3 linked regions of the Arabidopsis thaliana genome follow. The protein of the gene in region 1 interacts with the protein of each later gene in a biochemical or structural test. Each region holds a gene or a part of one and is shown on either strand. Other genes may lie near its edges. The genes, in order: MYB77, ARF1 and UVR8.

The links.
Region 2: the proteins of MYB77 (region 1) and ARF1 form a complex in vitro, tested with the Arabidopsis thaliana proteins (one study listed by BioGRID).
Region 3: the proteins of MYB77 (region 1) and UVR8 form a complex in vitro, tested with the Arabidopsis thaliana proteins (one study listed by BioGRID).

The regions. Positions count from the first base shown.
Region 1 is NC_003074.8:18,554,907-18,563,435, reverse strand, and holds MYB77 (myb domain protein 77), read left to right. Parts: upstream 1-4,109; 5' UTR 4,110-4,384; coding exon 4,385-5,290; 3' UTR 5,291-5,829; downstream 5,830-8,529. Other genes in the region: AT3G50050 (Eukaryotic aspartyl protease family protein), read left to right, coding at 6,321-6,592, 6,671-6,791, 6,878-7,305, 7,418-7,574, 7,669-7,751, 7,840-7,939, 8,087-8,159, 8,287-8,463. UniProt on the Arabidopsis thaliana protein: Transcription factor involved in auxin response. Functions in auxin signal transduction and modulates lateral root growth. Interacts with ARF response factors to promote auxin-responsive gene expression.
Region 2 is NC_003070.9:21,973,402-21,984,933, forward strand, and holds ARF1 (auxin response factor 1), read left to right. Parts: upstream 1-5,937; 5' UTR 5,938-6,022; exon of another isoform or gene 6,023-6,218; intron 6,219-6,982; 5' UTR 6,983-7,012; coding exon 7,013-7,049; intron 7,050-7,254; coding exon 7,255-7,370; intron 7,371-7,625; coding exon 7,626-7,721; intron 7,722-7,827; coding exon 7,828-7,884; intron 7,885-7,982; coding exon 7,983-8,135; intron 8,136-8,220; coding exon 8,221-8,305; intron 8,306-8,458; coding exon 8,459-8,549; intron 8,550-8,627; coding exon 8,628-8,792; intron 8,793-9,017; coding exon 9,018-9,137; intron 9,138-9,227; coding exon 9,228-9,303; intron 9,304-9,422; coding exon 9,423-9,594; intron 9,595-9,670; coding exon 9,671-10,140; intron 10,141-10,286; coding exon 10,287-10,477; intron 10,478-10,623; coding exon 10,624-10,792; 3' UTR 10,793-11,032; downstream 11,033-11,532. Other genes in the region: MTR4 (RNA helicase, ATP-dependent, SK12/DOB1 protein), read right to left, coding at 11,170-11,448. UniProt on the Arabidopsis thaliana protein: Auxin response factors (ARFs) are transcriptional factors that bind specifically to the DNA sequence 5'-TGTCTC-3' found in the auxin-responsive promoter elements (AuxREs). Seems to act as transcriptional repressor.
Region 3 is NC_003076.8:25,550,764-25,562,531, forward strand, and holds UVR8 (Regulator of chromosome condensation (RCC1) family protein), read right to left. Parts: upstream 8,737-11,768; 5' UTR 8,653-8,736; intron 8,222-8,652; 5' UTR 7,825-8,221; coding exon 7,731-7,824; intron 7,544-7,730; coding exon 7,357-7,543; intron 7,166-7,356; coding exon 7,019-7,165; intron 6,807-7,018; coding exon 6,725-6,806; intron 6,334-6,724; coding exon 6,178-6,333; intron 5,771-6,177; coding exon 5,597-5,770; intron 5,392-5,596; coding exon 5,320-5,391; intron 5,080-5,319; coding exon 5,008-5,079; intron 4,875-5,007; coding exon 4,756-4,874; intron 4,573-4,755; coding exon 4,487-4,572; intron 4,396-4,486; coding exon 4,343-4,395; intron 4,139-4,342; coding exon 4,058-4,138; 3' UTR 3,653-4,057; downstream 1-3,652. Other genes in the region: AAP4 (amino acid permease 4), read left to right, coding at 731-791, 880-1,113, 1,238-1,331, 1,427-1,641, 1,720-1,859, 1,955-2,611; PP7 (serine/threonine phosphatase 7), read right to left, coding at 10,573-10,668, 10,759-10,866, 10,942-11,088, 11,177-11,671, 11,750-11,768. UniProt on the Arabidopsis thaliana protein: UV-B specific signaling component that acts as a UV-B photoreceptor and plays a key role in establishing UV-protective responses in plants.

The sequences.
Region 1 (8,529 bases):
CCCATTTAGTATAAATTTTTACTGATGTCTGACGGGTTTAGAAGCACACGTGCATGCAAGTAGTATACACGTGGGTGTTTCACATGAAAGATCCTACTTCCTACATGTGTTGTTGACAGTACGGACAAGTCTTTTAGTTGGCGAATAAGCGGCTAAAAATTTTCAAAGTGAAGCCGTTTAATGCAGGTCGTCGGTCAAAAGTGAAAGGATGATGGATACTTTTGTCATTTCATGTATCTTCTATGTATTTGCCTTTCAATCTACTGAACTTTGTCAAAAGAATTTTGTGGTTTTTTATTTGCTACGTAAAGTTTAGATATTAACAAAAGAATCAACAAACTATGAAAAATAACAAAAAGATGAGACATTTAGTCATGTATAACTCTTTTTTTTTTTTCATATTTAACTTGCACATTATTATGATGTATGATGTCATAACAAAACAAAATTTGTACTTTAGTAACCACAAATAAATATATGTATTATGTTAAAAATCATTGTAAAATAAGAAATACATTCATACAACCATAAGTTTTTTTTTTAAGATCATAGTTCTTTAAGAGATTTTAAAAAGAAGAAATCACATTTTTAACCTTCAAAGTGTCATTGGTACACCTCGAATTTCTTTTACTAACATTTATAAACCATCAAAGTAATTTTACTAATTCTTTAAACCTCCAAACTAGTTTTTTTGTTTGCACCACTATAAAAAATGACGAAGTAATTAATTTTGTTGAATATAAATTCATATGATATAATTTATTTATATATATTTTTGTTGATTTTTGTTTTTTCAATCAATCTCGCAATTGATTTTTTGGATATGTTTTGTTTTCATAGTCGAACGATGAATAAACGAAGAAGACAAAGTTTTTTTGTTTCTTAGATTTTCATTAATTATAATAAACAATAATATTAATTTAAATGAAATTAAAAAGATCATATTAAACAAACATAAATTACAATAATATCAAGATGATCAGACTCAATGGTTTGGTTGGTGGCTCTTCCTCCTCAACCAAATGAATATTAAAATGCTAAAATTTGAATATTCCAATTTGGCTTTCTAAATTTTTAGTTTGTCTACGGTGAGTTATGAATAACAATTCTATATCTATTTTCTAAATAGAAGTAACAAAAATGAATTAACTTTATACAATTACACATTTAACCACATTGGAAGAGAATGGTATCGAACCCTTGCTACCAAGAGAGCTCGGCTAAATGGAACAACTAACACTCAATATGACTAACGGCAACAACATGAATATCTTAATAAATACGAATACAGTTTATCCTAAATGTTACTTATTATTTGTATATGTGTAGAGAACATATTCATACGAATATTTTTGGGACAAGATAACAATTTTCATTCCTGTAAATAAAATTCCACTAAATGGTAAATAACTCGAAAGTCTCGAATGATACAATGAACTCAGTCAACATATATTTGTTTTTCCGCCTCTTACACCGACTAATCTACCACCGTGTGTTAGTATTATGATCTTTATGTTATTTAAAGCTTATCGTTGTTTAGATATATCGAACGAGTTTTTCTGTTAGGCAAACCTTACAAAAATGAATTTAAAAATTAGGAGAACAAACCCGACAATCGAAGCATGGACCCTAATTAACAACAAACAGCAAATGATATACTTTGATTTATATATTCACACATCGTGCACCGTCTTGTTCCTTTTGACAACAACCTATTACCAATATTTTAATTACAATGTTTCTAAGACACACATTGTTGGAATTATATTCTACATCGTGCACCGTCTCTCAGGTATATGTGTTCACCAAATGTTCACGTGCATCTTTCAAAATCTAGCTAAGTGTACAGCAAAAGTACGTGTCAATTATACATTGACCCAAAATAAAATGTTGGATCCGAAATGAAATAGATCTAAACAATGTTTAAGTAACACGAAACAATTTACGACAAAAAAAAAAAGTAACACGAAACAATTTACAAATCCTCAATTTAGTTTACAAACCAATAAAACTTAACATGGTATATATTATAGTCTAATTCAACCCATATAATATAACCTAAATAGGATAAGTTTTCGATTAGAAATACACCAAGAAAACCATCATTTAAATATGACATGTTAGAATGTGGAACACATAATAAAAGTAAACATATTGTTAACTTTTATAACCAAGACTAAGTGTATTATTATTATTATTTTTTTTTATTTTTTTAAAATATTAGGAGGTTTTGGGCCGAAACCCGTAATCTCTACAGACCCAAAATTACAGCATATAATATTAGTTTCGTCACTAGAATGTATTATTAGTATGAAAGAAATAACAATTAAGGGAAAGTTTGGTCAGTAAACTGAAAACCAACAACATCAAAACTGAAATAGTTTCGGTAATCCGTTTATAATTTGACTAATTAGTATGTAACTAATTCGACATAAAATACGGAAAAAGATAAATTAAAAAATAAGTTGTGAAACCGTTCGATGAAGGTTGGGAAGAAGGTGCAAATGACGTTTAGTGCGTTACTAACGTAAGAGACAGTTACACACAATTTCAAAAACAGTTCCAAAAATTTGACACGTGGCAGTTTGCTTAATGGACGACAGTTAGTTGTTTGTTGAGGATTACAGCCTGGATTTTCGTCAATCAAAAACTATATATTATAAATAAATATGATTTCATTCACATTCCAATTGGCCTAACACTCTTTTGTCGTGTTGTCCATGTCAGCAAATTTTATTTTTATTTTTCCGACCACTTACTTTTATCTTGTGTGGCCGTTTCTTTGTAACAAGTTTATGAAACAGAATATTAATCGTATCTAATCATATAAATGTAGTTTCCCGTATTGTGTAAATACTATATGACTTTGATTTGGGGCATTCAAAAACGTACCATTAACAAATAGTCACAGACAAAAAAACCATACAAAACTGAACCACATTTCTATAAACGATACAAATATTTTTATCCCAAATTTGTAGCACTAGGCAGTTTGAACCTTTTTCAGTTAGAAAGATAAACCAAAAGGAAGTAAAAAATATTAATTTCATCGCTCAAAACTGTTACAATTACTGTTTAACCAGTCATAAATTAGTTAATGTTTTTTTTTAAAAATGTGTAATCAAAATTTTACTTTCAAGAGTGCCAGCTCTATACTTGCAATTACTTTAAAATTTAAAAATATACAAATTTTAAATTATGTGTATTGTATTCTCGAGAAAAAAAAAAAAAGAAATCTATGAATAATTAAAACGTAGCATAACCGTTACAAGTATAGTTTCAAATTCAACGAATCAAAATACTTTTTTAAAAGTAGCTAATACTTTTCTCGTTTCAAATTAAATGTCGTTTTGCATATTAATTTTTGTGTCATATTAAACGTCGTTTTATATTCTATGCAGATTTTATGTATAAACTTTATTGGTCAAAAGCGTTACGAATATCGTTTCAAGTTCAACGAATCAAAACATATTTTATAAAAACATCTAATACGTTTTCCGTTTCAAATTAGATGTCGTTTTGCATTTTAATTTTTGTGTCAGTCTAATGTCGTTTTATATTTTCTACACATTTATATTTTCAAAAATTTCAGTTTTATTTTTATTGTTTAAATATATCATCCAATTTGAAAATAATACAATACAATAACAAAAATAACATTTAAATTAAACAAAAATATTTTTAGAACACTGTGATCAAATTTTATCCTCCAATATTTCCCGACCCATAAACTTTAAACCTTATGTAACTTCAAAAAAAAATTCAAATTAGTCGTTTTGTATTCTACAAAATAAAATAAAAGGAAAAAAGTTTCAGAGAAAAGGGTAAATTTGCATAACAAGGAATACAGGCTGGCGTGTCCAGTCAAAAAAGTCAGAAATCTGCATAAAAAACTGTCTTTACCCAAACTGCCAAACCTAACCGTTATCGTCTCAGATATTATTATTATTTTTCAAATAAACATTCAAAACAGCTTTCTAATTTTTCACCTCAGATTGTGCGAATAATATCAGAGCTCTTTCCTTGTAGGTTTCCGTGATTTTGTCGCTTTAACTTCCCTTCTTTTCCCACTCTCTTCTCACGCGCGCGTGCTTCCCCTTTCTCTCTTTCGACTGTATCACACGCTCCATAAACTAATAAACAGACGCACCGAGATCACGACACGTGTACACCTACAGCTGTATCCCAAAACTTTCAAAACCGCTTGCGTGGAAGAAGCGGTGCATGACTTTCTCCACCGTCTCTACCGGTTACCGGTTATTATCCATCCTCCTCTCTATCTCTCTCTCTGTTATAAATACCTTTTTTCTCCTCTCTTCAGTTTCCTCCACCTTCTTCTTCTTCTTCTTCTTCTCTACAACAAACAAACAAAAGATCTGTTTCAATGGCGGATCGTGTTAAAGGTCCATGGAGTCAAGAAGAAGATGAGCAGCTACGAAGGATGGTTGAGAAATACGGACCGAGGAATTGGTCTGCGATTAGCAAATCGATTCCAGGTCGATCTGGTAAATCGTGTAGATTACGTTGGTGTAATCAGTTATCTCCGGAGGTTGAGCATCGTCCTTTCTCGCCGGAGGAAGATGAGACTATTGTAACCGCCCGTGCTCAGTTTGGTAACAAGTGGGCGACGATTGCTCGTCTTCTTAACGGTCGTACGGATAACGCCGTTAAAAATCACTGGAACTCTACGCTTAAGAGGAAATGCAGCGGAGGTGTGGCGGTTACGACGGTGACGGAGACGGAGGAAGATCAGGATCGGCCGAAGAAGAGGAGATCTGTTAGCTTTGATTCTGCTTTTGCTCCGGTGGATACTGGATTGTACATGAGTCCTGAGAGTCCTAACGGAATCGATGTTAGTGATTCTAGCACGATTCCGTCACCGTCGTCTCCTGTTGCTCAGCTGTTTAAACCAATGCCGATTTCCGGCGGTTTTACGGTGGTTCCGCAGCCGTTACCGGTTGAAATGTCTTCGTCTTCGGAGGATCCACCTACTTCGTTGAGTTTGTCACTACCTGGAGCTGAGAACACGAGTTCGAGCCATAACAATAACAACAACGCGTTGATGTTTCCGAGATTTGAGAGTCAGATGAAGATTAATGTAGAGGAGAGAGGAGAAGGACGTAGAGGTGAGTTTATGACGGTGGTGCAGGAGATGATAAAAGCTGAAGTGAGGAGTTACATGGCGGAAATGCAGAAAACAAGTGGTGGATTCGTCGTCGGAGGTTTATACGAATCCGGCGGCAATGGTGGTTTTAGGGATTGTGGAGTAATAACACCTAAGGTTGAGTAGTTTTGGTTTAGGGTTAAAACTTGAATCGATTGGGGATTTTCAAGAGCATTCATTTTTGGGGTTTATGGTAAAATTAAAAACAAAAACAAAATGTACAGAGGAATTAAAATTTCTATGGAATAATCTTAAATCTCAAATATTTGTTACTTGTTTTGGTGATTCATAACCAAAATCTATAACAAGTCTAAATCTAAAAATTGAACCTTGATTAGTGAGACATTATCATACAAAGAGACATACTGAGTTAGTCAACAAAATGTAGGATAACTACATTCTTACATATTGTATAGATGAATTTCATGTTAATCCTTTCATAGAGCTATACAGTAACCATGATTAGTGAGACCTTGTAACATGTAGTATCAAAATCAACAAAGGTATAGATTTAACATCTATTTGAAAACATTCGAACCTTTTATTTGAAAATCTTTTGCTTGTTGTAAGAGATTTACTCTATAGTCTATAGATAGTAATTAAACCTTTTCTATAGGTTTGGTAGATTACTTCACTTTTATATAAAATTAATTACTGTCAAATCGGATTTTTGTTAACATAATTATTTTTCGACAATTTAGAAATTATCGTAAAAATTAGATCAATCTTTCTACATTCTTACAAAAAATAAATACATTGTCTAGAAAATCAGTTTTTTTTTTTCGTTTTAAATCTATAAAAAAACTGACAACAACAAAACAATACATACTTTTTAATTACTATAGAGTAAAATCTCTTACAACATGCCAAAGATTTCAAATAAATTGTAGGAAGATTTTTATGTTATTTAACCATTCTACAGTATAAATAAACACTGGTACAGCGATGTTAAAAAGTAGAGGTTAAAAAAATGCGTTAAAAACACAAAAGCTACGTCGTTTCAATAACTGGGTTTTGTCTCAAAGAAAGCTGCTTTTGGTTCCCGTAGATCTAAAGTTACGTTCGAGTCTCCCCTCTTCTCTCCACTCACTCAGCTCTTTTGATTCCCCTCCAATTTTCTCCGACGGTACGGTCGAAAAATCCAACCGGAGATCAAATGGCACTGCCGTCGATCTCATCAATCGGCGCGACGTTCTCACTCCTAATCTATTTATCTCTTCCTTATTCAATCACAGCTGGTGAAAACAACCTCCTCCACCAATCTCCAACCGCTAGATCACGACGTCCCATGGTGTTCCCATTGTTCCTCTCTCAACCAAATTCTTCTTCGAGATCCATATCAATCCCACATCGAAAACTCCACAAATCCGACTCAAAATCACTTCCTCACTCTCGCATGAGACTCTACGACGATCTTCTTATTAATGGGTAATCTCCTTTTCCATATTTCCCGATCTGGGTCATGTAAAGATGTCTCTTTTATATACTATTATATCGTATTTGTAGGTATTACACTACGAGGCTTTGGATTGGTACACCACCACAAATGTTTGCTCTTATAGTTGATTCTGGTAGTACTGTTACTTATGTTCCTTGTTCTGATTGTGAACAATGTGGCAAACACCAGGTAATGATGGCTCTAGATATCCAAATCTTGTGTCTTGTCTCGTGTAAAGTTGCAAATTTTGAAACTTTCTTATGGTTATTGATCAGGACCCAAAATTTCAGCCAGAAATGTCTAGCACTTATCAACCTGTTAAGTGTAACATGGATTGTAATTGTGATGATGATAGAGAACAATGTGTTTACGAGAGAGAGTATGCTGAACATAGTAGTAGTAAAGGTGTTCTTGGAGAAGATCTTATTTCATTTGGCAATGAAAGCCAGCTAACACCTCAACGAGCTGTTTTCGGTTGTGAAACTGTTGAAACCGGTGATCTTTATAGTCAACGTGCTGATGGGATTATTGGATTAGGTCAAGGAGATCTTAGTCTTGTTGATCAATTGGTGGATAAAGGTTTGATAAGCAACTCTTTTGGTTTGTGTTATGGAGGGATGGATGTTGGTGGTGGTTCGATGATTCTTGGCGGTTTTGATTATCCATCTGATATGGTGTTTACGGACTCGGACCCTGATCGTAGGTATGTTTCCAAGGGAATGGCTTTTTCTGATTGGTGAATGGGATCTTGTATAATCCTAACAAATACGTTTAATACCTTTCACACATTTACTCTAGTTTCGGGATGGCGACAGTCCATATTACAATATAGATTTGACGGGGATACGTGTTGCTGGGAAGCAGTTGTCTCTTCATTCGAGAGTCTTTGACGGGGAACATGGCGCCGTACTAGACAGTGGTACAACATATGCTTATCTTCCAGACGCAGCATTTGCGGCATTTGAGGAAGCTGTAAGAACTGTTCTGAGAATTGTTAATGTTTAGTTAAGTTCCCTGTTTCTCTGTTGCTTATCTTACATGAGGCTCTTATCTTGTTGTATTGAAGGTAATGAGAGAAGTTTCCACATTGAAGCAGATTGATGGTCCTGATCCAAATTTTAAAGATACTTGCTTCCAAGTCGCTGCAAGGTATTTATTATCTCTTGCAAACTTGTGGTGTATATCATAACTTATAATCAAGGCAAGTAACTGACTCTTATAATTGTTTATGCTGAAGTAATTATGTCTCGGAACTTTCAAAGATATTCCCATCGGTCGAGATGGTATTTAAGAGTGGACAGTCATGGCTGTTGTCCCCTGAAAATTACATGTTTCGAGTAAGTAATGTAGCCCTTAACCTATTATGAAGTTCCATGTTCTCTCTATAGCTAGCACTCTATGCAGTATTTATAAGTCTCTCTGTGTCTGGTGTTGGTTTAGCCACAAATCAGTAGCTGATGTGATTACTTTTTGATCAATAAAAGCATTCCAAGGTGCATGGTGCTTACTGTCTCGGTGTCTTCCCAAACGGAAAAGATCACACAACTCTTTTAGGAGGTAAATAGATATCATTACTTTGTTTGATTTTTCTCTTTTTATGGCTACCTTCATTTGTTATTATACTGCATATCATTTTACTTGCCAACAGATTCATTTGTAACAAATGATCTTATACTATTATCAGGAATTGTGGTTCGTAATACACTTGTTGTGTATGATCGTGAGAATTCGAAGGTTGGATTCTGGAGAACCAATTGTTCGGAGTTATCGGATAGGCTTCATATTGATGGTGCACCACCACCTGCTACTTTGCCTTCAAATGATTCAAATCCCTCCCACAATTCATCAAGCAATCTGTCAGGTTAGCACGACAAACTCTCTCGTCTTGGAAATTACAAACTGAAAAAAGAAACTATTTCTATTTCTC
Region 2 (11,532 bases), on another chromosome or scaffold:
TGATCATCGGAGAAATCAGAGAGTATTAATGATGAAGATTATCGAGAGAATTTCTGAAAACTCAAGGTCATAGAGAAAGAAAAATATTGAACAATTCATCGTTGTGTTACTATTACAAGAACTTTTTTTATGGTTTTTTTTTCTCACATCTAAGCTTGTTTACATGCAAGTGTAAAATTGGAGTATCAACAATTACAAACAGAAGTATTCAAATAATGATAATTAACTCTGATACTAATCAGCTAATGAAACTAATTAGTATGAGACTAACCAGATAAGATAACTCGAATGTTCTTTATCGAAATTTACCGGAATCATTGTCACAGTACACAAACAGGAAACACAACACCAACATTTTCTTTCCCACAAAAGTTATCTATGTAAATTAGAAAAGAGGAACACGATGAAAAGTGATGGATTTGTTATTTCCTCAATGATGTTCTCAATTTGGACACAATCTAATGGTAAGAAACATGTCTGGAACATGTTGGGTGTTAAAGATTGGCTCGTCCTTCCTTTATCCACTAGTATTAATAGTTTCTTTATATTCAACTTTACTTTACTCATTGATGGTTAAAATATTGCATCAATTTGTCCCCCATTTTAATGGCATTATTACATTCTCCCACTTAGCACAGTTACTTCAACTATAGAGTTATTACAAGAAGTGGGTTTCATAATTTGTGATGCTTTTGTATTATTTTCCTGCCGCTCTTGAGTTTCTGAAATGCGATTTTTACTCTTTGTACTATCTCTAGATATATTTACTATTCAAGCGTATTCAATAGTGGATACCTCATCTTTAAATTTTGTCAGTAAAATATAATGACGTTGAATCTTCCTTTTTTTTTTCTTTTTCTTTTTGTTGTTGCTATGAATGTTAATATCATAGATTTTTTTGGCTTTTACAAAGTAAGAACCTCATTAGGAGGATAGCAACGCAGTCAACTGTTTACCACATTTGGAAACAAAGAGAAAGTGTAGTTCACAACCATGTCTCGATCCCAACCGCTACTCTCTTCAACCTCATCAACAAAGATATCCAAAACATTATCACAGCAAGCAGTGCCGTGCCAAGGTCCATTGTGGCTTAAGACAAATTTTTAAAATGTGGCCAAACATATTATATTTTTGAGAGAAATTTTTTTTAATGTAAAAGGATAAGAAAATGTTGCTTGATTTAAAAAATAATAATAATAAATAAACAAGATTTAGTAGTTAGTGAAAATGAAACACAAACAAAATTTTATATAAATGTTAATGATTTGAGTTTTATTTCCAAAAAAAAAACCTAAAACACTATATAAAAATAAATGTTTTACTTAATTTAGGAAAAATGTGGCCTTTTTATTTGTTTAATTTTTGGTGGCCTAAGGCAAATGCCTTATTTTTTGTACATGAGGCACGGCTCTGACAGCAAGACGTAAGCGCAAGCGTTATCGCAACCTTATGCTTCTCAAGTGATCTTGAGCTCACACAATGTGACTTTCAAATCTTTTGTTTTAAGAAAAAATAAAAATAATAATCTTTTATCTTTTTGTTTTAATTGTTTTTTGCCAAGAATTCAAATCCATCGGTGAATCTACTGGAATCCAAGATGATTTACTTTTACTTGATGGATTGTTTTTGGTACTTTCGAATAAAACGTACAACGAAATGCAAGAAGCTATCTTTTAATGATTTCTAATCGACTTGATATAGCCATATATATACACACAAACTGAGGTTCAAAGTCGTTCGTTGAATTTAAATCCGTATATTTCATGTTTTAAACAAAATAAATAAATAAAAATCATCGATGTTAGAAATCAAGACGAGCTACCTTTTTTTATTTTCTTATTACAAGACGAGCTACCTTGTAATATCAGATTGGTGTCGTTTGAAATATATTTTGCAAACTAAAATATATATTAAAAATAAAAATCAAAAACTTTAATATACTTACTCTTGTTGGTTATCCAAGATGAATACGTTATAATTAGGGCTTGCTGTTAATTTAGCAACATGCATGCAATAGTCTATAGATTTTCTATATGGTTTGATTTTACAAAGTAATGATAATGTATTGTATTATGATGCTTTCAATCTATTACTAATATTTTTCTCGTAACTTGCATGCTTTCATAATCCTGTGATCAATTGATGATCATATGATTCCTGATTGTTATGTGTTTACGTCTATTGAGTTAATATTGACTTTAAAAGTAATTTTCCACTATATTTTTTGTGTACTCCTTGGTATACCTTCTCTGTAATTTTAGTCACTTTCAATTTTATAACGAACGTTACTCCAAATCGTAATGTATCTTGCTTTTGAATTTATGAGTGGAAAATATATATGGTAGGCTGTTAAAGAGTTTTTTAATAGGTCTGTATTGGGCCTCAAGATTGGGCTTACTAATGAATGTGTGTATATTGTTTTGGAAAGCTTGAAAATAATGTGAACGATGGCTTGGCAAATATTCATTATTCCAATTAGAGCCCAACGTTATAAAAATAAAAAACCGGACCGGGGCCGAACCAGATTAATGTTTGAACTACAGGGTAACTTCTGTAAAAAAGTACTAAAAACTAGAAATGTTCTCATGTTTCCTTTACTTCATGACTTGTGTTCATGATATCATTACCGCAATAAAAAGTCTATGCCAACTCATTGCCATCTTCTTCTTCTTTTTTTTTACTGATCATTGCTATCTTTTTAAATACAAAGTAACAATGAGTAATTGCAAAATTCATTTTAGGAACGGATTTGTTCACCTCGGAAACAGATCGGTTCACCTTAAAATCGACTTGGTTCAACTCATGAGTCATGATTAGACTTAAGAGCAACACATAACCCTTAAATATGTATCCAATAACGCCTAAAACCGAAGTTCTAATATCTCAATAAAATAATAAAGACCAAAACAGGTTATTTAGTTTCGTCGTACCGTTGAAACTAATTGTAACATTTATGTTTTTTTTCTTTATGTAACTTGTTAGTTTAAAGAAAGTTTTCTATTTTTGAATTAAATTTCAGAACTAAGAAAATTAGGTTTTGGTTGCAAAAAAAGAAATAATCAGAATAAAAAGATTGGTTAGAGACAAAGGAGACATGTCCATGCTTACCGAGAAGAAAACACGTAAAGCTAGTGGTGGTACTGTCAAAGACAAAAAAGCTCAATTATTAAGCATACATTAATTATTACTGATAGCCTGAATCTCTAATTTTGTTACTAGTTAATCAAAAATCATTTTATTAATCCAAGTGGTATGCTTCTTTTGCAGCGCGTGAATCTCAATTGAGTCCCCACCACAGGAGACAAGCAGTGAAGCTGTAAGGAACTCTGGTGGGTTTGCATTATTTTCCATTTAACAACACATGCAATTTTTTTTTAATAATAAATATAAATTTGATAATTGCATTAAGTATCAACAAAGTTAATAGTATTATTGTAGTGTAATTTTTGAGTTGAAATTATTGGTTTTATTTTATAAATATAACTTTTGTCAAAGTTTCAAGTTTTTTTTCAAAGTTAATGAATAACAAATAAAAATCTATTCGTTGAATTTTACTGTCGCCACCACCAGTTTGAGTAGATTCCGCAATTTGAGAGATTACATTAAAAATGATAAAATTAGTTGTGATGTGGTGTTTCACTTCGAGAGAATATGAGTACAATGAGATTATGAGAGATTGATTTTTTTTTTTTTTTCATTTCTCAAACTTTCTCTAATGCATTTTGCTCATATTCGAAGATCGCTTGTGGTGACCTTTGTGTTTTATAACCAAAAAATCGTTGCTAAAATCAATACTAATATCGCATGAAAAAATAAACATTTTACACACAATGTAAGTCATTTTCAACTAGTATAAATATGCATTGTTATTTTAATAAAAGTAGTTTTGTTAATCAGTTATTACGATTTTTATCATGGTACATAAATTTTAAAAAGAATCAATTTGTTAAGAATGGTATACCAACGAATAACAATAATTCAATCATATGTTAGGAATCATTTATATGTTTACCTATATATTATTTTGAAGATTTTCACTCAATGCAAAGATGAACCTCAAAATTACTTTTATCAATGACACATTTTTAAAGAGAAAATATATAAAGATATGAAAGTAGTCACTAGGGACTATGTAATCAATTGTGCTATTTACTGTTTAAACACACTAAAATATATAGTTTTAATGTAATTAAGTAATCCTACAACTTTCATGTGAAAATTCCTAGTCAAATATTTCACGTAGTGAGTTATTTAAAGTAAAACAGAATAATAGGTATGCTTATACGGGTCGAGTTGCTTTATTATGAATATGATTATATGAATCAAAGGATATGAATTTATATTTATCAAGTTACCACGTTACGACCAAATTTGGGTTATGGGTTTCAAATCTTGAACGGTTCATGGTATTCCGCCGCTTTTGTCCTATCAAGTATGGACACATTTTTCAAAAGTACGCTGGTGCCGAAGTAGTTTGTTGTGGCCTTGGTTAACTGTACCATTAATGCGTGTTTATAAACTACATGCTAACTCTAATAACTTCTCATACATTCACATCAAAGGACGATGAGCCTCATATACATACATAGTGATCAGAGCCATCCTCTAAGCAAAAAGACTATCCTTTTTAAAAAAGAGAATCATATTAAGGGCAAAAATTAACTTTCAAAAATAATTGGCCAAGAAGCGATGACTAATGTTTTTGCCAAAAATAAAACAAAATCTCAAATCTCAAAGCCTGTTTCATATCTCTTTTAAGAAGAGAGAAAGAAACTTAGGATTCCAGAACTAAACGTCGAAAGTTCTTAGATATCTTATTTCAAAGGGTTCTCCTCTGTCAGAAATTCTAGAATAACAGATTATTTCATCTTAGGTGGACTGTCATTTCTTCTAACTAGGCTAGTAGCAAATCATTATGCCCAATTTAAAGCTAACTCGCTCTCCATCTCCATTCGATTAGATTAGTAGTTAACTTTAAACCACCAAAAAATTTTATACATTTATTTGTTAGAGAATATTTGGAAGAATTGGGTGGTCTCGCTTTGTGCCGCTTTCTTAGCTCAAGGATTTTTGGATTCTATCTACATGAACTTCGTTATCAATTTTGATGCTTGATATTTTTGCCTAGAGTGTTTCAGTTTTTTTGTTTTTCTTTTCTTTTTCTAGCAGAATTGTCACATGTTATATTCATATTTTGAGTATTTTCTAAGAAACAATTAGGATGCTACATAGACATATTTTTGAAAAGAATTAAGAAAAAGTAATAGGTTTTGGAATTTTGCAAAACAAGCGAGAAGATGCTACACTTGATTGTTTTCAACAAAAATACCCTCAGAAATAATGGATGAGATTCACATGATAGCACTAAATCGCTACAAAATCTCTTCACTAGTGTCTCCTCCATAGTCAAATCCGAGCTCCAGATAAAAACATTACAGATTCATATGACAATATTAATTTTGTCACTCATATGAATTTGGTTAAATATATAATCTAATTTGAAAATACAAAAATCATGATTCATGATGCACCTTTCAATTCACATAATGTTGAAATACAGAAAAAATAATTACTCTCTCATTTCTTTATAATATAAGTTTTAGAAAGAAACCAAAAATTGTCTCATAAAGATAAATGTAGATTTTTTTTTAATTTTATCTCCTATTAACTAGGGTTGAATTAATAAAACAACTAATGAATATTTATTAAACACGAATATATTTGTAGTAGTAAAAAAATTCTTAATATGTATGCAAAGTCTAAAAACATACAAGTTCACTAATCTCTACTAAATTAACAGCTAAACCCAATAAATCCGTTAATTATGGCTAGTTTAGTGAATTTTTCTCAAAGAAAAGCTCTTTTTTCAAAGTTAAGGAGACTAGAGAGCAAGTCATTTGCTTGTGGTTGGAAACAAAAACCCAAAGCGACGACACAATTAAAAAAAAATATAAAGAGGAGAGGAGAAAAAGAGGCAAGCCATAGCCAAAGGGTTCGTGTCGGCTTCAACCAAACACTGACGGTGTGTGTATACACCTTTACATACACACCTTTATCTCTCTCTCTCTCACATCTTTGTTACAAATCAATCTTCTACTGTTTTCTTTTTCCTCTTCTTACATTATTTTTTGACAGCAATTCTTAGTTTCTCTTCTATCCCCTTTCTGGGTTTTGTTTGAACCCTAGCTCGCTTTGGATCCAGTGGTTTTAAGTTAAAGGTTCGATTTTTATTTCTGGGTTTTGCTTGTTTTGCTTGGTTCTGCTTAGTAAATGTTGGAAAAGGAGGAGACTTTAGAGGATCTGTAGTCAGATTTGAGCTGGGTTTGTCGATTTTACTAGGATTTTGATTTTGGGGATAATCTAGATCAGGAATCGTTACTTTGTTTCATATCCAAAATTCAACTCTTTTTCTCGTTCCTGATCTAAAAATCGTTCCTTTTCAAGCTTTCTAAATGAGGTTTCTCTTTGGTGGTTCTGAAATTTTGTCTGTAGCTGTTGTGTTCTTCTCTTAGATTTGATTCTGTATGATAATTTTAGGTTCTGAGTTTGAAGTCTTGTCATTGTAGAGATGGTTTTAGTAACAGTTTTGGTGTTGCTTTGTGTGAAGTTATTAAGGACTAAAATCTGTTCATTTTTGGTATGTTATTGAGCAGGTTCTTGTCTTGCTTTTGCTTTATTTGTTCTTTCTTTTTACCTCTTTGTTTGAGTGATTATTGGATTTTCTCTTCAAATTGGGTAATAAAATTTTGAGAATCTGAGTCTTGTGATGTGCTTTAGACACAATGTAGAACAAAGCAGTTACATAAATGGCCCACATTTTTGTCAGTAAATTTATGAATGGGGTTTTAAATGTTTCTACATAATAACATCTATCAGAGTTTTGTTTGTCTAAATTAGAGGAGGATAGGTCCATCTTCTTCTTTTCTCTTTCAGAATAACATTTCAATCTTATAGTTTTCTCTTCTTTTGTTTTGTTGCCCAGGTAAATTTATCGAAAGTAAGTAGATTCCTAATGGCAGCTTCCAATCATTCATCTGGTAAACCTGGAGGTTCGTGGAATATTTCTTGTTTTTATACCATTCTTTGCTATTTTCTACTGGGAATCCACTTTCTAAGCTTGTTTGGGGATTCTGCATAACTTGAAATGGATGATTAAGAACTGGATAAGGGTTTTAAAGCCTTGGAGATTGCAACCATTGCTTTGTTTTTGAGATATATTGTTGCGTCACATAACCCATATCTGTTTCTTTGTAGGAGTTTTAAGTGATGCTTTATGTAGGGAGCTCTGGCATGCCTGTGCTGGACCTCTTGTAACCCTACCTCGTGAAGGGGAACGAGTTTATTATTTCCCTGAAGGCCACATGGAGCAGGTTGGTTATTGGGTTGAATCATTTAACATTATCATTTGCTAAAGCCGGTTATGTTAATTGGACTGTTATTACTGTGTCAACTGTCGCTTCAAAATACCTTGTTGGTGCTTTCTAGTTTAAAAGTAAAATCACAAAACATGTATTGTTGTATAGAACGGATAAATGCACTACCTGTTTTGATTTCACATGATTATTGTTTCTTTCATCTTATCTGATTATCACATTTATGCATTTAATTGGTCACTTCCTGTGCAGCTCGAGGCATCAATGCACCAAGGTTTGGAGCAACAGATGCCTTCCTTCAACCTCCCATCTAAGATCCTCTGTAAAGTTATCAACATCCAGCGCAGGGTAGGCTAAATTCCATGATATATGATAAAAGTTTCTTACCTTTTCTTCATGAAATGGGTTGGCTAAAGAATATTATACCTTGTTGTGCTTCACTTTGCAAGCTCAGGCAGAGCCCGAGACTGACGAAGTATATGCGCAAATAACCTTATTGCCAGAACTGGATGTAAGTAAATTTTGATGGTTTGGTGTTTCACAAAAAACGGTTCGGTAATTTTTTTTCCTGTACTTGATTTTGGTGAAACTATTGTGTTTGGTTATCAGCAAAGCGAACCCACTAGCCCAGATGCCCCTGTTCAAGAACCTGAAAAGTGCACCGTACATTCATTTTGCAAGACACTAACTGCTTCAGACACAAGCACACATGGTGGCTTCTCGGTGCTACGGAGACATGCAGATGATTGTCTCCCACCCTTGGTCAGACTTGCTTCCGGTGTTCTGGTTGCTTTTTGGAAACATCTCCACTGCTATTTTGTGTAACAGTTTGCTTTCTCTTTTCTAGGATATGTCCCAACAACCACCGTGGCAAGAATTGGTTGCAACTGATTTGCACAATAGTGAATGGCATTTTAGGCACATTTTCCGAGGTTAATACACTTGGTATCTTATTATGAGATGGTCTTTAAACTGTGGTTCCTTTACCCCAATGCTACTGCTACTGGGAACCTTTAAAGCTTTACATAATTTTGCATTAATATTATTGTTTCACGTTTGTTTTAATCATAAGGTTGTGACTACAGGCCAACCAAGGCGTCATTTGCTAACAACTGGATGGAGTGTTTTTGTTAGCTCGAAGAAACTAGTGGCTGGTGATGCTTTCATATTCTTAAGGCAAGCTCCTCATTTCATTCGTCTGGATATTATTTTTGCCACATACGGCTGGACATGTGACATAGTATTATCTTTCAGGGGTGAGAATGAAGAGCTCCGAGTAGGTGTTAGGCGGCACATGAGACAACAGACTAATATCCCGTCATCTGTCATTTCAAGTCATAGCATGCATATTGGGGTCCTTGCAACAGCAGCTCATGCCATTACAACAGGAACAATCTTTTCTGTCTTCTACAAGCCAAGGTCTCATCAAATGGTCCAAAACACATCAGTTGCTGCATCAGACTTTCAGCTCCATTTAGAAACTGAAAATTTTGCTATGTTAGATTTATTTAGCCGGTCTGGGACGGACACACCAGCCATTTTTTAATAAATATGCATCTTATTCCATTGAGTTACTGTTGCCTGCATATGCTTGATGATAATCATTTTGCTGCAAATCCAGGCTGACATATCTTCTATTATCAGGACAAGTAGGTCAGAGTTTATTGTGAGCGTCAATAGGTATCTCGAAGCTAAGACCCAGAAGCTGTCTGTAGGCATGCGTTTCAAGATGAGATTCGAGGGGGAAGAAGCTCCCGAGAAAAGGTATCAAAACTAACTATATTGTTTTCTTTTTGCTGATAAAGCTGAATATAACTTCTAGTCTTTTTTTTTGTGTGCGTTTTAACTATGCAGGTTCAGTGGCACAATAGTTGGTGTTCAGGAAAATAAGTCTTCGGTCTGGCATGATTCTGAATGGAGATCGCTAAAGGTTAGAATATTCTACTGTTATACTTTGCAGTGGAGCAAGTTGTGGATTTGTATTTTCTTAGTTGAATGAATAGAGTGATGCATCTTAATATGCTTATTGGCAATCTGATCATGCTTCAGGTTCAATGGGACGAACCCTCATCTGTATTTCGTCCTGAAAGAGTTTCACCTTGGGAACTTGAGCCCCTAGTTGCAAATAGTACTCCGTCTTCACAACCTCAGCCTCCGCAAAGGAACAAACGACCAAGACCTCCTGGTTTACCTTCACCAGCCACTGGTCCATCTGGTCCTGGTATTCTGTGTTCTTTTCTCTTTGAACTGTTCTTCTTTGTGGCGGCTCTTGCTCTTTTTATTGATGCTCTCTTCAGTTACTCCAGATGGTGTGTGGAAATCCCCGGCAGACACTCCTTCCTCAGTGCCATTATTCTCTCCTCCTGCCAAAGCTGCTACGTTTGGTCATGGTGGGAACAAATCATTTGGAGTATCTATTGGATCAGCCTTTTGGCCCACCAATGCAGATAGTGCAGCTGAATCCTTTGCTTCAGCGTTTAACAATGAATCTACTGAAAAGAAACAAACTAATGGAAATGTCTGTAGGCTTTTTGGGTTTGAGCTAGTTGAAAATGTTAATGTGGATGAATGTTTCTCTGCTGCCTCTGTGTCTGGTGCTGTCGCTGTAGATCAACCTGTCCCATCCAACGAGTTTGACTCTGGCCAGCAATCTGAGCCATTAAACATCAACCAATCTGATATTCCTTCGGGGAGTGGTGACCCTGAGAAATCCTCTTTGAGGTCTCCTCAAGAATCACAAAGTAGACAGATACGTAGCTGCACAAAGGTGTGACTATTAGCCTCTTGTATCGCTCGCTCTTTCTTTGAAGATCAATTTTTTTTGTCACAACTCCAATATTGGTCTTAAATTGGTGGACCGTGTCTGCGGCTTGCTTTTGACTAAAACGCAATGTTTTTGGCAATTTGATTTAGGTGCACATGCAAGGCAGTGCAGTAGGCAGAGCTATTGATTTGACAAGGTCAGAGTGTTATGAAGATCTGTTCAAGAAGCTGGAAGAGATGTTTGATATCAAGGGTGAACTCTTAGAATCTACCAAAAAATGGCAAGTCGTTTACACCGATGATGAAGATGACATGATGATGGTTGGTGATGATCCATGGAAGTAAGTGCATTTGCTGTCTAATACTCTAAATTTTGTTTGGTGTCAACAAATAAAGCAGTGGTTAAAATTGCAAAGCATCATCTGCTGTAATGTGTCCTTTTGCTTTACCGTTGATGATCATTTTGGTCTTCTCTTTTGTGCTGCAGTGAGTTCTGTGGAATGGTGAGGAAGATATTCATCTACACACCTGAGGAAGTGAAGAAACTTTCACCGAAGAACAAACTCGCAGTCAATGCAAGGATGCAGCTCAAAGCTGATGCAGAGGAAAATGGGAATACAGAGGGCAGATCATCATCTATGGCGGGATCAAGATGAGTATATCACTGTGTTATGTTTTAAATGTACTTGCCACGTAGGAAATATGAAAGCAGAAGCAAGAGATCGTTAGACAATATGAAAGTTGAGATGTCTGTGTATAGCAATGAAGTTTTATGTCTTCAAGTCTTATGAATTCACTTAGATGCAATGTGTTTTGAGGAGTTGTGTAGCTTTTGTACGGGAAATATGGAAATTAAGTTTCACGTCTTGTTCTACCTTGAACAATGGTCATGGTCAAAAATAAAATTATGATAAATCTCCTCTTGCTTTATAGTTCTTAGTACACATTATAAGACTTTAAGAATAAATGATGGTACAAACAAAATTCGTTGCTTTTGTTATAATCTTGTTGCCAGGATGAAATAAGCACGACATCACAAGTAGAGAGACGCCGCGAATACAATGTCTCTTTTGATCTTGGAAACAGCTTCTTCTAGTTTAGCTTCAAGCTGTGTTTCTCCTATAGATTTTGCAGCTACTATGAGCTGTTGCAGAACTTCCTCCATTCTCCTTATCGCTCTGATCAAGCTCCCTTCGAAAACACGAGCAATCTCCATGACCTCATAGAATTTGGACCCTTTTGCCCAAGCATACACCGCCTCCATTATATCAGGTCTGAAAGACTGCACAAAACTCTCCACGTCTATTTCGACCTGTCAATGTCATAAAAGACAGAAAGTTATGGACCAAAGCCTCTTCAAATGGTCAAATTCACTTTTAGCTGAGCAGAGAGAATA
Region 3 (11,768 bases), on another chromosome or scaffold:
TATAGGATCTTCGAATTCGGATAATGAAATCATTTATACACTATTAAGTATTAACTTTGTAGAGGACTTAAGTATTCGAAATCTTGATTCAGGTTGTCAATCAAGAACCGTAATGTTTGATCTATAGAGCCATGGGATTAATGGATGCTAAAAGAATAAAACACTCGAGAAGAAGAGTACACGTAAAATCACTCACACACAAAGAATGAGAGATGGGAGAAGAATACTACAAAGTGTTTGTTTTTTTTAAATCGGCTCATATATAAATTTGGGCGATACTCTACTACCCACATTATTCTTTTAAACAATGATATAAATGTGTATGGCCTATGTAGCCGAACTTTTTACATATCTGACCTGTATATATATAATAATTATTTATCAAAGAAATTAGAGAAAGATTCTTCCACTTTTGATGGCTTATAAAAGATGATGACCCAAAACACTCAAAATGCAGCAGCAACTGCTCTCTCACCACCCATCTCCTCATTTCTCTTTTGCATTTCTTTCTTTTTTTCTGCATTGCATTCTTTTGAGGGGTTTAATTTTCTGCATAGCTTTGTCTAATCTCTTAGAGCTCAATAAGAGAAGGTACTATAACTGATCTCTCCCTCTTTCAAGTTTTTTTTTTGTTTGGTTTATAGAAAACTATAACCGCCATTATCCGTTAGTTTTAACCGTTTTTTGAAACTAGTGAATCCTCATAACTTTGGTTTCTCACTAAAAACAGATGGATGTTCCACGGCCAGCTTTCAAATGTTTTGATGACGATGGCCGGCTTAAACGTTCAGGTAAAAAATTTAAATCCCCTTGTTGGTTACTTGACAGTTTACACCTTTGAAATGAATGATCCAAAGAGAAAAACTGCGATTGTTTCAGGGACGGTTTGGACCGCGAGTGCGCATATCATAACCGCCGTGATTGGATCTGGTGTTCTATCGCTTGCGTGGGCTATAGGTCAACTCGGTTGGATCGCAGGTCCTACAGTGATGTTGTTGTTCTCTTTTGTCACTTACTACTCTTCCACGCTTCTTAGCGACTGCTACAGAACCGGAGATCCTGTCTCTGGGAAGAGAAACTATACTTACATGGACGCTGTCCGATCAATCCTAGGTATCAACTATCGTCTCTCTGTTTTCCTCCGCATATGCTTTGATTGCTCTGTTTTTGGGTTGTTTCTCTCTGTTTTGTTCTGTTTTACTCTGTTTTGTGTTCTGAAATGCTCTGTTTCTGGCAGGTGGCTTTAGGTTCAAGATTTGTGGGCTGATTCAGTATTTGAATCTGTTTGGTATCACGGTCGGGTACACAATCGCAGCATCTATAAGTATGATGTGAGTCTTTCTTTCTCACAAACTAGTTTATTTTGGAACACCATATAATGAGATAAAAGGCCTTAAAAATTTGGTTGTATCGGATCGAGTTTCAGGGCGATCAAGAGGTCCAACTGTTTCCACGAGAGCGGAGGGAAAAACCCGTGTCACATGTCGAGCAATCCATACATGATCATGTTTGGTGTGACCGAGATCTTGCTCTCTCAGATCAAAGATTTTGACCAGATTTGGTGGCTCTCCATTGTCGCTGCTATCATGTCCTTCACATACTCTGCAATCGGTTTAGCTCTCGGAATCATTCAAGTCGCGGGTAAAAGAAAATTACTTTGTAAGACTCTTCGCAGTAATCAACAAAGCAGAGGGTTTAACTAACTCTAATGTGTTTCAGCAAATGGAGTTGTCAAGGGAAGTCTCACCGGAATTAGCATCGGCGCAGTGACTCAGACCCAAAAAATATGGAGAACCTTTCAAGCACTTGGAGACATTGCCTTTGCTTATTCATACTCTGTTGTTCTTATTGAAATTCAGGTAAGATAAAGAACCTAACCAATATGGAATCTGTTTTCTATACGAGTTTACAAAATCTCTGACCTTTTTTTGGGGTGCATGTGGGTTTTCATTAGGACACTGTAAGATCTCCACCAGCAGAATCAAAAACGATGAAGATCGCCACAAGAATCAGCATCGCTGTTACAACGACATTTTACATGCTATGTGGTTGTATGGGCTATGCCGCCTTCGGAGATAAAGCACCGGGAAACCTCTTAACCGGTTTTGGTTTCTACAATCCGTTTTGGCTCCTTGACGTGGCTAACGCTGCCATAGTTATCCACCTTGTAGGAGCTTATCAAGTCTTTGCTCAGCCCATCTTCGCCTTTATTGAGAAACAAGCTGCCGCTAGGTTTCCCGACAGTGACTTGGTGACCAAGGAATACGAAATCCGAATCCCTGGTTTTAGGTCACCGTACAAAGTCAACGTTTTCAGAGCAGTTTACCGAAGCGGGTTTGTGGTTTTGACCACTGTGATATCCATGCTTATGCCGTTTTTCAACGACGTCGTAGGGATTTTAGGTGCGTTAGGGTTTTGGCCTTTGACGGTTTACTTTCCGGTGGAGATGTATATAAGACAGAGGAAGGTTGAGAGATGGAGTATGAAGTGGGTTTGTCTGCAGATGTTGAGCTGTGGTTGTTTGATGATCACGTTGGTCGCCGGAGTTGGCTCCATCGCCGGAGTAATGCTAGACCTTAAGGTTTACAAGCCGTTCAAGACTACTTACTAAACAAACCATGATGATGATGAAGAAGAAGAAGGTGGTGGAGAAAAAAACAAAAGATATAAATTTTAATATATTTCATTTGGGGAAATGTGAATAATGTAAAAGTTCTTCGTTTCGTATAATTTTTATCTTGCGTAATTTATATACATAATGTGTTCTCAATCTATAATTGATGTGGTGTTTATTGAAAGTTTGTTAACCAGATATGGATTTAAAGACAATAAACATACTAATAGATTTATGTAGAAAATGAATTATAGATTAACATAGATTTATGAAAAAAGGTTTTTTAAGAAAAAACAACTTGAACATAAGGTATAGTCCATTGCCGGAGTAATGCCATGAGATAATCGTAATGTATGAATAAGTGTATGTGAATATAAGAAGATTGGCGAAATGATATATGGAGTAATATTTACCCGAAATTAAAAAAGCAAGAAAGTGGTGGGAATGAAAGACTCGTGGATGAAACATCAAGAATCATTAGAAAGTTTGAAAGATGGCGACTTGGAACTGAAAAAGGTAATAACATGGAATCGAATCTAAGTGACATCGATTTGGAATAATTTAAGGGAAAGAAACCCGACACATAAAGAGAAACACTAAAAGAGCAATATGGATGGTTTTGCTTTAAAGAGAATCACCCACATAAGTTTTACCCAATAGAAAATTTTCACTAAACGCCAAATATATTAGGCAGCATAACTAGGTTGGCGGATGATGAAGGATCAATTTTTTTTCTTTTTGACATATCCATCACTTAGTCCATTAGAAATTCTTCGTATTCTAGACTCTTCGTATTGAGACTAGAATATATAGAAATACGAAACATGCATTGTGTGTTGGGCCTAAAGGCTAACCTACCCAAAAGTTGTAAACTAAAATACCCATACTACTCTCGTTCTCATCTGCGCTTCACACTTTGATAAAAAAGGAGAAGTTCAACTTGTTAATCTGTGATCACTGTTCTTCTTAAGTTTTGATCTTGATTGATAAAATTGTTTTTTTTTCCAAAATTCAAATACTCTAAAACTCAGCGGGTCACTATCAATCATATCATATTTGAATTCAAACATAGGCGGTAAAAAAATAAGACAAAAAGAAAATTCTCTTAAAACATAAGTTGTATAATGGTTGAAGGAAAAAACAGAAAACTTTTTAAGAAATGAAAGATATAGAACCAGAAGGTATTATTATGGTGAGGAAAAAAAAAGTACATACCCTAGAGACTAGTAGTAGTAGTACACACAGTTTACAACGCCCATGTAATAAGAGAGCTAGGGGGAGGGAAGCATCACAAGTTACAAACTAACAACAACAACAAAAAGTACAATCCCAAACTAGACAGACGTACTCTTAGTACAAACCTCAACCCAAAAGAGATCACTGAAAAACCTTCGAATCCAACGGAAGAACCGGAAGTAAAAAAAAAACGGAATTGACTCAGGCTCAAATTCGTACACGCTTGACATCAGTTTGTGGAACACTGATATCACCTCCATTACCTTTGCTTGAACCATCCGTTAGGCCCTAACACACAACCAAATTCAAAATCACACACATAGATTTCATCCTTGAAAACAATCCACGATCTTGACAGAGCAAGGTATAATTGTGCAGCAATGATTAATCAGTAAAATCTGGTTCTAAGCCGATATAATTGTGCCATTTGCTTTCATTGTAGTTTACGTATTGGATATAAAGTTTAGTAGAATTAACAAAATTAAGGCTTACCGTTTCATCAGGAACAACTGCATATCTCTCTGCAGGCGACACCCAGCTTTTCCCTGGTAACAAAGCAATGCAAAAGTTGAATCATTTAATCACTTGTTGAGTCGTTTACAGAAATCGTTTTAACTAGTGGTATTGTTTAAATACCTGAAGATGGATCGATATTAGAAGATTCTATATGTTGTCCACTTGCTCCATCGACGCTGAGTGCCTCTATAATCTTGGGAAAGTTCCTATAAACACCAAACCAAATATCCATTTCACATTATCAAGATAGGTAGTGAGTGGGATTGAAAAGCAATGATTTTGGTGGAAACAACGATCTTACTGGCCAATTTTCATATTCTGTTCGTAACACCAAGATATGTTAAGTGGAAAACATTGATTCATGAGCGATTAGATGATCACACTTTTACCTGTCAACCGACTCTCCAATGCCGAGCTGTCCATTTGTACCTCTACCCCAAGCAAACACGTTATTTCTTTCAGTGACAGCCAAGGTATGTCTCCATCCACATGAGACTTGAACTACTTTCTGTGAAATTCCACAATATGTGTGCATTGGAAAAGAAAACAGCGAATTGAGACATGAACTTATTAATATGATTATATAGCCGGTAAAACATTGGGACGAGCTTTCTCGTTAAACTTTTTTAGGGATAACATGCCTGATCATCGGGAAATCGCACTTGCACAGGAGAACACTGATCTAAATTATTGCCGACTCCTACTTGTCCAAACTGCAGGCTAAAAGAGAGACAATTAGAAGTTTGTTTTATTCAAGATGAGTTACTAAAGTTACCCAATATATGCATTGTTGTTTTCTTAAAATAACATCTAAGTGAATGCATATCACTCCTTAACAGCATAAAGCAACTAAATGCAAATATCAGTGAATGTGTAGATGAAAATAGGTGTTCTATACATTTCTACGAAATATAGGCCAGAAAAAAAAAAAAAAAAAGCAAGACATTCTAGACCTTATTCCAACCCCATCCATATAGTTTTCCATCTGAAGTCAATGCCATTGTATGTCTCCAACCTCCCGAAATCTGGAAAAGAAACGAACAGTAAGTCCAAAAGATGTCGAACAGAAGAAGAAAACCAACAGAAGTACATACAATGAAGCCAGTCTTCTTCAGTAGGTAATAGTTGTCAGAAAGTTTTCGAAAAACATATTATTGCTATCCCATATGTTGGATATTTCAGATGTACAAATTTGTATTTCAAGACAGATTTATAAGGCCTAAGTGAAACCTGGGAGATAAAACTGTTGCTCAGTGCTTCCAGTTTGTGAGGAATAAGGTGATCCTCCAAGTCTCCATGTCCTAGCTGTCCATATTTGCTCCATCCATAAGTATACAATGCTCCAGAGTAGGAAACTGATATTGTGTGCCGCCATCCACAAGCAACCATTGACATTTTCTCACCCTAAAATTGTAGTTACAACCAGGAAAACGAGAGTCAAGTGAGTCGAAATGAAAAGAGAATTAAGGAAAAAATTGAGGGACTAAAATGCAGAAATAGAAGTTGGTAAAAAGGTGAGGTTGCGTGATATCAATGTTATATGAACTAAATTTCATTTCATGAACTGTGCAGATTCAGGATACCAAACTTTGATCATTCTAAAAGTTTTATGGTCACTTCCCTGACACCCACCAACTGAAATTAGACTGCATATACGTGTGACTCCATCAATATAGACAGCTAATCCAGAATAGTGCAGTGCATATTGAGCTATTCACGATTTCTTTCACGTATACTGAACTTCAAATGCAAGTTTAAACAAGTAGCAGGTGCTTAAACAAAAATTATAGAACAAGAGTCTTCTAGCTTACACCAGTAGAGGTAACTCTTTCAGGAACTAAGCGGTCAGTCCGGTCACCTAATCCCAAATTTCCGTATCTTCCCCAGCCCCATCCATAGAGGTCACCATCTTCTGTAACTGCAGCAGTGTGTTCTGCACCAGCAGCAACCATTTTGATTCGTATTCCCTGCACCCATTACAAGTTTAAAGTGTTGATGTAACAATGGAGATCAGCGAAACTAACAACATAAACTCAGGGTCTCTAATCACTTAATCTTCTAGTTTACCTAGTCCGATAAATTATCAATAAGATCCTACCTTCTATCTGTGTTTTGCAGATAGTATAACACATAGACATCCAATTTAGTATCTACCACTCCTAAAATTATGTAACTTAAATTATGATTCTGAAGACATCTTCACCAGATGTGGACCCTTAACTAGTAACAGTCATATGTTTAAGAAGATCAAGTTGCAGAAATAGACCCAACATTGACCCAATTCTGAAGCATAGTATTTGGCAAGTTGAGGAAACTACAACGAAAAAAGATGTTAGAAGAATATTTAGTGATACAAACCTCAAAGGCTTGAATCTTCTGAGGCACTAGAGAATCTTCGGTGTCCCCCAGACCAAGTTGACCATTCTGGTTGCGGCCCCAACTGTATAAACAGAAGTCAAAGAGATATGTTGGAAAACAAGACAAGACAGACAAAACGTTTAAAAGGCAATGTACACAATAACCAAGATATATAGAAATGACACAGGACGCAATCGACATTATCAAATTCCGATGAAATTCATCTAATTGAGCTGAGATGTAAACTGTAAATGATTGCACATAAGGAGAAGAACAATAACAAAGAGAAAATACCTCTGGACCTCTCCTTCCATAGTGACAGCCAAACAATGACTATCCCCACAAGCAATCTGCTTGATCCGAATACCGTGCAATGCTTTGATTGGTAGCGGAGTAAACAAGTCGCTTGAGTTACCATGGCCTAATCTCCCAAAATCACCCCTGCAAAGTACACATAAAGGTTAGAGAACACGAGGCTTAAAATATGTGCAAATGAGTGTATAATTAGTTACTGTTTTCTACACAAAAATCTAGAGAGGAACTAGTGGTCATCATCTCATCCCGAATATATCAAACAGACTGAAGAGCAATTGATTCAGCAGCAAAGAAGAAGATAATGATGAGAAACAAACCATCCCCAACTGTAGACTTCCATGCCTGATTGTGAATAAGCAACAGTGTGATCAGCACCACAGGTAACGGAAACAATTTGGTGGCCATCTAAAGCGCTAAGCTGAGTCGGAGAAGGTCGATCCTCTGCATCGCCATGACCTAACTGTCCATCCTCTCCTCGACCCCAAGAACAAACAATGTCACCAGCTACAAAATCAAAACATAAAACTACTCATTAGTAGACGACGAAAGTAAGGGAAACTCGATTAAAGGCCAGATCAAGAGAATTCGCGAAGAGCACAGCCTACTAAAGCAGCGGATTTCACAATTCCGGTGATTATTTGAGTCCGTAATAGAAAAGGAAAAAAAACAGCGAAGAAGAAGAGAGACGTACAGAGAAGAGCGACGGAGTGGCTAGCACCAGCGGAGATGATAAGAACCTTACGAGGAGGAGCCGTAACTTCGTCGGCAGCCATATCCTCCGCCATGGATCACAGTTGCAGTTTTCACAAGATATTTTTTTTGGGGAGAAATGAATTTTGAAAAAAGTAAGAAATTTCTATTTTTTGATAAATTGGGAAATTTTGTAGCTTCTCTTTCACTATCCGTAATCTCTCGAGGGTTGAACAAGGAAAGACAGAGAGAGAAAGCGGTAGATGGTAATAAAGGCGCGATGGAGATTTGCACATGTCATATATCTGCTTTTTGACTTTTTTACTTTTGCTGGTTTTTTTATTTTTTGTTTTAACCGTACAGTAAATCTCTTTTTTGTCGTACAGGCTTTAATTGCAAAAGGGTCCCTCTTCACTTAATAAATCCAAATACGGACCTCACCGGTAAAGTTTTATACTTTCATAATTTCACCATTTCTTTTTTTTTTTGTTTCTTGACCATTTCATTTACCTCTTCACATAAGTAGATTTAAGCCAGTACACATGACATTCTAGATCGTAACTTGTGTTTTATGTGTTCATCATTCACAGGTGTAAGGCGCATAGATCGTAAGAGCCTAATCATATGTTTTTAGTCATGCACACGTGTGAAAGTATACACGTTAGTCAAAAAAAATTCTGAGTTTCATAGTCCAAAGTGACATATCCAATTTGTCTTTTTAGTTATAAATATTCAGTTCAGCTATTTTAGTTTTTCAAAGAGGTCAAATTAAACCTGGATTACAATATGGTGTACAGTTTGTCTTTTTATTATGATTCTGATTATCATATGAAGATACGTCTTGCTACATGTTATTTTATTCAATTATTCAAAATGCATGGTTCTACATATGGAAATATACAGATATACGGTCTACTTACAACTTGATTTTTTTTTTTTTTGTTAAATTACAACTTGAAGATTCTACTATCAACAAAACAAAAACAAAAAAAAATCTTCTATCGATCGAGCGAGATATTCAAATCAAAATACATGGTCAACAGGTCAACTATAGATTCAAAATATATGAATACCTAAATATTCAAATTAAGATATATCAATTCACGATCTAAAACATCCAAATATAGATTTTGCGAAAACGGCCAAAGAAATTATACATAACGGATAAAAATAAATAAAAAATTACATACGGATACTACTTAGTAGTACTTACTAGATTACCTAAAACCCATAATCTTACATATACATATGGATAAAGGTAACATCGATGAATTACTTGTTTCATCCGATCTGGAACGAATATATCACCTCGCTCGACCTAACATTTATGTGAAACTAAAAGGTTGTTTACATTGAGATAAAACCAACATTATATGCTTGTCAGTGAGGGAAGTTGTGACATCTATTATAGTAAGAAAATTAAATGAATGAAGATATTTTTGCATTGCCTGATACATGCATTATATGTATTGTCCAATTTTGGCATTAAAGTCAACGAGACAAAACTCTAGATCAAGATGGTCTCTAATGTTGACATTTGTTGCGACCTCTTTCAAATGGGTTCATCTCATCATTCATCACACAAATTTGTTGCATTATCTTTTATAATCTTGTTAAATAAACATCATTACGAACAATTTGTGGAAAAATGGAAATTATATGAAAGCCATTGGAAGTACTATATACAATTTAATGCACATGACTTCAACAGAAAATACTAGAGAGACAAGATAAGACACCTATAATAATTTAAGCTTGACATGAAGTGCTAAACAATTACTGTTTAGAGACATATATGCACATGAAACTAGGAAAGAAAAAACATTGCGGTGAGTACATGTCAATGATTGTCGATGAACAAATTACAAAACAGTAAAAATCAACACCCACCCACATGGGTTCCGGTATAAGGGTCAAGTTTGGCGATAACACAAATTTTAGGGTTTGCAAAAATGTTGTAACCATAATCGGTGATGAAATATGGAAGATCATGTGAATATTTAGATGATGAAACTATTTGGCTGAAAAGACAGTTAACTTTAAGCTTTATTACTTGAGATGCCCCGTGACAGACAACGAATGACCTTGGAGAGAATCACACAGATGATGCTAGAGGTAGCTTTAATGTGTTATATTTGCGAATGAAGATGCTTCACGCTCCTGTCGAATTCTTCTCTCTTTAGAGAAAGAACAGACCATTATTAGTTTAGCCCACTCAAGAGAAAAAACCGAAAACAATTGCAATAAATGCTTCAAAGTGCAATAAGGAACCATAAGATAGTTAGCATCAACCTCCACTTCATACTGTCTTTTACAAGAAGACATACATTCATCTGAACAAATTGCTACCAAATTCGGCATTTAATAAGCTGTCTCGTTACTTAGGATTTTCATAACCACACAATTTTTTGTTGGATAAGATTCTAGTAATGTGTCAATATTTCAAAGGAAAACTATAATGCCGACAGACACATAACTTGATCCACAAACTTCCATTGGACTAATCTACTACTCGATTTATCATTCAGTTAAAAGCAATTCTATACAATGAAAGTTACTGCAAGTTTGACCTCTCAAGATTTAGGCTAACCTGACAAAACAGAGCAAAATCTTACAAGATTTAGGTTTAAATAAGACGTGTAGGAACCAAGAAACTAAGAACTACATGAGATTTAAGATGGTTCTTATTTCTTCATCTTCCATACATAACTTAAATGTGAATTCTACAAATGATTTTCTTCATCTCTTTTCTTTACATTTGATTCCATTTTATGTTTGCAAATAATGAGCAATCACAACAACTGTAAAAAACATCAATTCAAGATACTCCTTTTCAGCTTCGGTCAGCTATTTGGTTGTTCGTTATTGGTGTCCATTGCTGACTTATCCATCTCATCATCAGAATCAATGACATTTTCAAAGTCATAATATGGATGCGCCTGCACATTTAAAAACCGATGTCGCTATGTATGTGTATCAAAGAAGTAAAACAACTCGTTGGTTCATTATCAGCATCGTAAGTTAGTTACCTTTGGTCGCGGTTTAACAGCTTCGAAACTATGAAATTGAGGATCCGAGAAATCAGGCGCCTGCAAAATAATATATGCTCCTTTGTTTTTGTACCTCTCTTCTGTTGCCTACACCACACACAAAAATGATTGTTAACGCATATCTTTAGAAAATGCAAATACCAAAGGCGTAAAAATACATACTTGGAATTGCGGATAGTCAGGTGCACTGAAAATAGTGATAAGCTTTCCGGATTCGACATTGTGGTCTATTGTATATCCATTGTCCATTCCACCAAGACCAGTTCTCTTCTCTCTAGCATCTGGACCTTCATGTGATCTGATGATCAACTGCACCAATAAGTGTAAAACATTTGATCCAATCATCCATATCAGTATTTGGGAAGCAAACAAGCATCAATATCTACTTTGGTGTCACCTTCAGTTCATATTTCTTCAAAAAATCCTCTGTACAATCGGGACCCCAAAGAAGACCAATGCCTCTCTGTTCATTTGGTGAAAGGCCCGGAGTCATTGAAGGATCAGACCATAAAACGTCTCCTGGTATCAAGTTTGAACCTTCCCAAGGAGGATCAAGAACTGATCTTCGAGCTTGCATCAACTCATCTAAGGTACCGAGTTTCATTGAGCTCGGCTCAGGTTCCAGAAGAACTACCCGACGGTTCTTTTTCCCCCTTGTTGTTCGCTTAGGCAAGACTGGGCTGCGGAAAAGCCCTCCATGTGCTGTATAAACACGTCCAGAAATTATGGAAGCCAAAGGAAGACCTTCAAAGCAACCCAAACATTTCCGGTACACATGTTTTCCCTTGTCTCCGTATTTTGTAAGCACTTCCTTCTCGAAACCATACATAGATGTACAATACTTTGACTCATGATTACCACGGAGTAGGTAGACTCTGTCCGGCATCAAAACCTAAACAACCAAAAAGATATGTGCTTTAAGAATACTAAGACTTGAGCCAATAGTAAAACAGCTTAGTAAAGAGTTTACCTTCCAGGACAAGAGAACA